Mus musculus: one gene and its partner. The protein of the gene in region 1 interacts with the protein of each later gene in a pairwise test. Links are inferred from orthologs where the notes say so. Each region holds a gene or a part of one and is shown on either strand. Other genes may lie near its edges.

Region 1 (3,518 bases):
GCTTTTCCAGACAGGGTTTCTCTGTGTAGCTCTGGCTGTCCTGGAACTGACTCTGTAGACCAGGCTGGCCTTGAACTCAGAGATCTACCTGCCTCTGTCTCTGCCTCTTGGTATTAAAGGTATACATTACCCTGCTCAGCCTGATGATTTTTTTTAAAGAGTTTAGAAAAAGATAAATAAAAACTAACTCAACACAAAGACATATAAGACAGTTTACCTATCACAGGACCCCCCGGGAGCCAGCCCCCTATAATGACTGAGCGTCAGAGACAGCAGTGGAGATGGTGACACCACTCAGGGCCTTCTTGGTTCAGAGTGTGACCTGTGTCTGTGCAAGGTAACTCCCTTGTATTCTGAGACACAGGAAATTTGTGTGCCCAGAGCTCCCAGGGCAAGAGGGATGCACTGAACCGTACCGTTGCAGCATTTTAAGTGGAAATGTTGGGCCAAGGATAAACATAAGTGGTGAACCTGGAGGAAGAGGTCCTAGAAGACAGTCCAAGCCTTGCTCCTGTTCCTGGGGCCTGAAAACCCTACTGTAAAACCCTGCCTTCAAGATAAAGCCTCTTTAAAAATAACAAAATGTCTTCCCCAATAGTCATGAGATCAATCATGGGAACTTGGACAGTCTCAAAACATTTAGGCAGGAGGAACGAAGAAAGTGGACAGCATATCTTGGTAACTGTGACTCCTGACGGTCAGAATGTCCCTTTCTGTTAAATATCTTTGCAACGGAAGATAGACTATTCTTGCTATATCATTTTCTCACATGTGTTCAGTACAGAAGTGTCCCCATCTTCAAAGAGTTTAACTTGACTGTAACATTTTGCTGGCTAGTTTTGTGTCAACGCTACACAAGCTAAAGTCATTTGGGAAAAGGGAGCCTCAACTGAAAACAGGTGTGTCCCGTGTGTCGTTCCCCCCCCCCCCCCACAGACTGGCCTGTGGGCAAGCCTGTGCATTCTCTCAATTGATGTAGGATACCCCAGCTCACCATAGACACTCAACCCAACCTTTGGGCTGGTGATCTTGGGTAATGTAACAAAGCAGGCTGAGCAAGCCAGGAAGTAGCACTCCTCGTGGCTTCTGCTTCAGTTCTTGCCCGGATTCCCCTTAGTAAAGGGGTGCAACTGGAAAGCTGTAAGCCAAAATAAACCCTTTCCTCCCCAAGTCCCTTTTGGTCATTGGTTATTGTTTTATCACATTAATAGGTGCATCGGAGCTCTCGGCCAGGCAGTTCTAGAAGGCAAAAAAGTCCATCCCCACACCTGGACTTAGCTTTGTCTGATCCAACTCAATCCTAATGGTCTGGGCCCTGCTCCTCCCTCCAAACCAAGGGTCCTTTCAGCCTCCACAAGCCAGGATCTACAGCCTCATGCTACTGAACCTAGAGAAACACAAAAGGAACCTACAGCAATAGGTTCCTATTTAGGGGGGGACCAGGCACTGTTTTGGTTTTTTTTGTTTTGTTTTTGAGTGTTGGGAAGGATATTGAGACAAGGTCTCATGAAGGCCAAGCTACCCTCTAATTTATTATGAAGCTGAGGATAACCATTTAAAAAGGATGCTACCATAGGAATCATATCACAGGAAGGTGCCATCATGCCCAGCTAAGAGTTTGCCTTCTTGATTTACTTGCACGGCAACAACTAAGCTTAGCATTGCCTGGGATTTCCTGATCTACACCAGTGGCTCTAGAGAAAAGGCTGAAATCACAGGATACAGAGAACAATCATGATGGTCAGGAAAGGGTCCTACAACTCCCAGATATCCTTGTACTCATATAGAAATGTTTGATGGAACCCACAGACCCTATACAGACAGACATCCATCCCAACAGGCCAGCAAGTGCTGAGCCCAGCCCCAGACGTACCATGGTGATGCCGAGGCTCCAGACATCAGACTTGACATTGTAGCCCTTCTGATTCAGTTCAGGGTTGATCCTCTCAGGCTGCAAGAAAGACCAGAAGGCTTGAACACCCAACAAGGCTCCCTCAATTAGACCTTTTCTCTTCTACACCAAAACAGAATACCATTAGGTTCTCCTGCCTGCATGATATAGGCCAGCAAGAGCGAGAGCCAACCCCTGCCTTCCCCCCAGGCCACCAGTCTTAAGGATCCCCATGTTCCTAACAACAGAGAACACAAGTTCATCCAAACAGGGATCATGGAGTATAGGTAAATGGTGGCAGGGTCTCTAAGACTGGAGGTACGGCTGGAAATAGCCAGCCCACTGCACAGAGGCAAAATCTTGTCCTGGTCTCCACCTTGCGGGGATGCCCTGACTCACGGCCATGTAAGGCTTGCAGCCAGCATCCATTGTCTTTGCCACAGAGTCCACCAGGTAGCCACTGATGCCAAAGTCGCACATCTTCACATGCCCTTCCTTGTTGATGAGGACATTGGATGGCTTCACATCTACAAGAAGAGCAGACCTTTCTCAGTCCATGCCAAATGGGATGCTACCTTCTCCAGTGCCCTGTGGGCCAGCAGCATGCTACCCAATGCCCCAAGGATTAGCCAAGGAAACAGCGGCAGTGAGATCTGCAGCACCAGGCCCCATCGCTCGGCTGGATGACAAATCAAAATGAACTTCAGCCTATCCCAACCAAAGAGAAACATCTGAGCTCTGGAGACTCTACCTTGAGGCTACCTAAGCACGTCACCTGCTATGGACACAAATCCAGCAAGCAGAAGGTAGTGGGTGAACAATGAGGTGGAGTGAAGGTATGCGGATGGGTCTGTGCATGCAAATGAGGAGCCCCACCCATCCCTGTCTCACAGGAGGCAGGAGCCTCCAAGCAAAGGGCCACATGGATGTGAAAAAGACAAAGATGCCCCAGAAAAGACGGGAAGGTTCCATGCCAAAGAGTCAACAATGATGACCCGTGGACAGAATGGGATGGGTGCTGGTCATCGAAGTCCACTTAGCCTCCTTCGTTTTCTAGGTACAGTGCAACCAAGTTAATGGGAGGCTGATACTTAATTAAGTATAACCCTGGAGGGGGAAGCCCAGACTAGTGGCCATGGGGGCAAAGGAATCCCAGAAGAGTCCAGGATAGTCATGTGTGGGGTAAGGGGGCTTGTATCAGAGTCCTAGTGTGACATGCCACAACCTAGGTGCTCCACGGCACAGGAAATGTAAATATGAATGAGAAGCGGGCCATGGGGCTGGAGAGATGGCTCAGTGGTTAAAGCACTGACTGCTCTTCAGAAGGTCCTGAGTTCAAGTTCCAGCAACCACATGGTGGCTCACAACCATCCATAATGAGATCTGATGCACTTACATATAATAAATAAATACATCTTTATGAAGAGAGAGAGAGAGAGAGAGAAGCGGGCCATGGAGCTCAGAAAAAGCTGGGATCCACTTAGTTCCTCCTATTCAGAGTGCAGCAGGCAGAGCCAAAGGCACAAATGCAGAAAGCGGCCTATTCCCCAGCAGGTATATCACAGTCTGCCCCTCCCTGAGCCTCTGTGGCTGATGGAGGACACTGACCTCTGTGGATCACAGACAG
Region 2 (3,518 bases), on another chromosome or scaffold:
TGGTCTGGAGTAGAACACGTTATGATCAAAATACACTGTATACGGGTCAGTGTGGTGGCACATGCCTTTAATCCCAGCCAGCACTCGGGAAGGAGAGATGAAGGCAGATAGACCTCTTGTGAGTTCAAGGTCAGCCTGGTCTATTAAGTCAGGTTAAGGACAGCCAGGACTCTGTTATACAGAGAAACTCTATTTCAAAAAGACCAAAAAACCCAAAACAACACTATATAAATACATGAAAACATTATTAAAAACCCATTCCTGGGGCTGGTGAGATGGCTCAGTGGGTAAGAGCACCCGACTGCTCTTCCGAAAGGTCCAGAGTTCAAATCCCAGCAACCACATGGTGGCTCACAACCACCCGAAATGAGATCTGACGCCCTCGTCTGGTGTGTCTGAGGACAGCTACAGTGTACTTACATATAATAAGTAAATAAATCTTAAAAAAAAAAACTATTCCTATATATAATCAGCTCATAAATTATGGCAATTAATAGAAAGCATAACATCCATGTGTGTCCAAGTTCAACATACATGTACAGGCTATTGTGCACAAATTAATGGGAACCAGAGATCAACATGTCTTCACTTCATTTGTGTGTGTTCATGTGCATGTCTCTGTATAATGGTTGCATGTACACACAGATGTCAATAACACTGGGTGTTTTCCTTTATTATTTTCCACATTATTATTATTATTTCTTTTTTCTATTGTCTTTGGAGTCAGGATTTCTCTGAGGTCATGGAACTCACTCTGAAGACCAGGCTGAACTCAAACTCAGAAATCTACCTGAATTGGCCTCCCAAGTGGTGGTATTAAAGGTTTCCACCTTATTTTTAGTGTGCATGAGTATGTATGCACATGAGAACACATGCATGCTCTGGCACGCATGTTAGAGGACAACATGCAGGAATTGGTTCTCTCTTCCCCCCAAGGAGATTGGGGATTAAACTCAGGTCATCAGGTCAGGCTCAAGTGACAAAACACTTTCCCAATGGCGTCATCTCTCGGGTCCCAATGGTAGAGTGTTATAAAAGAGAAACCACTCACTCCACACTGCACCCGTTTCTAGATCCTTTTCCTAAAGGCACAACCATTTTCTTTTTTACTGGAATCCCTATGTGTTACAGAGGAATTTGGTGGCATCTTAGGGAGTTCACACCCACACTCAGTTCTGAGTGCTTCTCTTTTGCTCTTGACTTTAAGTGTAAATCTGCAAAGGGTTGTTTAATATAAATTCTAAATCTGCCTCAAAAAGAATAGAAAAAAATTGGAAAAAATAAACTAGAAATGAAACCTCACTGTTAACCCCACCAGAAGAGACTGTTACTTGGCACAGTGGACAATGTCCTCTTTTATTTTCCATTATGCTATTTTGGTTTTGTTCTGTTCTTTCTTTTATGAGACAGTTTATCTCTCACTATGTGGCCCAGGCCCATGCTCCTGCCTCAGTCTCTTTGTTGAAATTAAAGCTGTCCTTTCTCACACCCATTTACTGTATATTGATTAAGAAACTAGTTATTGCCTCTAACATTTTTTGTGAGATACAATAATTTCTAGAGACCGTTTTAAATCCACAATTTAAAAAGTAACTCCAAGGGAGATAATATATGCATGCTTGATTATGTCACCAGTATGAAAACCATGGTAGCAGCTGTCATCAACATCACGGCACATCCTGACCAAGAGTCATGGGCAACATTCCTGAGTATTTTTACACATACACAAAAAAGCTATAGAGAACAATTCTGGAGTCAAGTTTGAGTTTTCATTTTTTTTTAAACTTTTCTAAATTATTATATAGACAAGAGAAATACATAGTAATAAATAAATTTAACATATTTACTATATATTATATAGATGGATACTATATTTTCATAAATAAATGAATATAATTACTAATTTTCTACTTTGGTACTATATTACATAGTCCTAAACAAAGACAAACTCTTTGAATTTACTCCAAACAAGCCTGAGACCAAAGCTGTTCAAACTGCTGTGAATGAGCAGTTCTGTCTTAAGGTGAGCATATGAAAACATAGGTTCTAAAGAGACTTCTGGATGTTATCTCTGGTATTTTAATTATCTAGCTCCTCGCAAAAAAGATGAAAATTAAAAGATGAAGAACAGGAACTGAAAAGGAGGTATCTGACAATAATAAATTTACCTGGAGGAAAAAAAAAAGATCCCACAAACAACAACACACAGGGTCAGACAGGTAAGAGGCGCTACCTGGGCGGCAAAGCCTGGGCGGGAGCTAGAGGTCCAGGTCGGCGCTGATCCCTGGGCAGGGTTGGAGTGACGTGAAATCTGGGCCAGTATCTGCCCTGCAGAAGATGATGGCTGGACAATGGTTACAGGAGGGGTAAGACCACTATTCCTAGGAAGGAACAAATAGAAAGTGAAGGTTAAAAGGTTGACTCCATCACAGAAGCTATGAATCAAAGGACACATTCTATCCCTAGATTCCTCTGATTTCTTGGAGTTAAGGAAAACCTGATAAATTTAAAAACACAAGAAAGACTGACTGTCACACACTGACCACACAGAGACGTTTGGAACCTAGAGCAAGGCAATAGAATAGGTGCAAAAACAGGAGGAAAAGCAGCTTCGTTGTCTCACCCTAGGTCCAGTAAGTTCTACTGCTTTGTCTGAGGTGACCAGAGAAAGCAAGGGAAGATGACACACGGATCCAGCAACTGAACCCTGCAGAGCCCTGTCAAGCAGCACACACATATGGGGCTCACCTGAAATTCTCTGCCGGCCGGGGGTTAGGAGGGAATGAGCTGCCCTGGGAGAACAGCTGTTGGGTGGCAGGGACAGTGCTGGAGGAGATGCCTTTACTCTGATCTGCAGACCAAAAGGAGTTGGGGGAGGGCCATCAAGGGGCTGTAGCACATAGTTTAATCAATTCCTACTTATTCATGAAGTACTGTAACTGAAGTAGAAGTATGCTGACTGGGCAGTCCCATCAGTAATAATGAAACTCAGCCTGTAAAAGGAGCCTGCGGAAGAAACCCATACCTGCAGTGATGCTGGGATAGATTTCTGGAAACCTTGGATCTCTGTCCTGTGCAAAGAGACCTTCTGACTTCTCAAGGGGCTTGCTGTGTTCTGATCCTGCACTTGCCACAGGCTGGACAGAAACCTATGGAATAAAATAGTGAAAACAATCAATAATGTTCAATTTTATATAGAACATTCTCACTGGCACTGATAAATATTGTTTTTAAGATTCATTTTTGTTTTAAATTGTTGTGTCTGTGTCTGTGTATATGAACATAGTGTCTACAGGTGATTGTGAGCCACCCACTATGGTTACTAGGAATTGAATTTGGGCTTTCTCCAAGAGCAGTACTCTCTTAACCACTAAACCATTCTGGTAGCTTCAATATACATTTTAAAGAAATGTTCATTGTCTCCTTATAGGAAAAAGGTACACTCACCTGGGAATGATTATAGCTGGCCAGCCCATCTCTTCCTGGTACCATATCCAGTTCTGTGTGCTGCTGCTGCT

Evidence for each region. The genes of interacting proteins can lie anywhere in the genome.
Region 2: the proteins of Map2k3 (region 1) and Arnt come close enough for resonance energy transfer, tested with the Homo sapiens proteins (2 studies listed by BioGRID). The link is inferred for Mus musculus from reciprocal best matches to the Homo sapiens genes MAP2K3 and ARNT.

Annotation. Positions count from the first base shown.
Region 1 is NC_000077.6:60,945,544-60,949,061, reverse strand, and holds part of Map2k3 (dual specificity mitogen-activated protein kinase kinase 3), read right to left. Parts: coding exon 3,500-3,518; intron 2,419-3,499; coding exon 2,291-2,418; intron 1,952-2,290; coding exon 1,874-1,951; intron 1-1,873. UniProt on the Homo sapiens protein: Dual specificity kinase. Is activated by cytokines and environmental stress in vivo. Catalyzes the concomitant phosphorylation of a threonine and a tyrosine residue in the MAP kinase p38.
Region 2 is NC_000069.6:95,489,886-95,493,403, reverse strand, and holds part of Arnt (aryl hydrocarbon receptor nuclear translocator), read right to left. Parts: coding exon 3,448-3,518; intron 3,150-3,447; coding exon 3,026-3,149; intron 2,852-3,025; coding exon 2,749-2,851; intron 2,382-2,748; coding exon 2,234-2,381; intron 1-2,233. UniProt on the Homo sapiens protein: Required for activity of the AHR. Upon ligand binding, AHR translocates into the nucleus, where it heterodimerizes with ARNT and induces transcription by binding to xenobiotic response elements (XRE).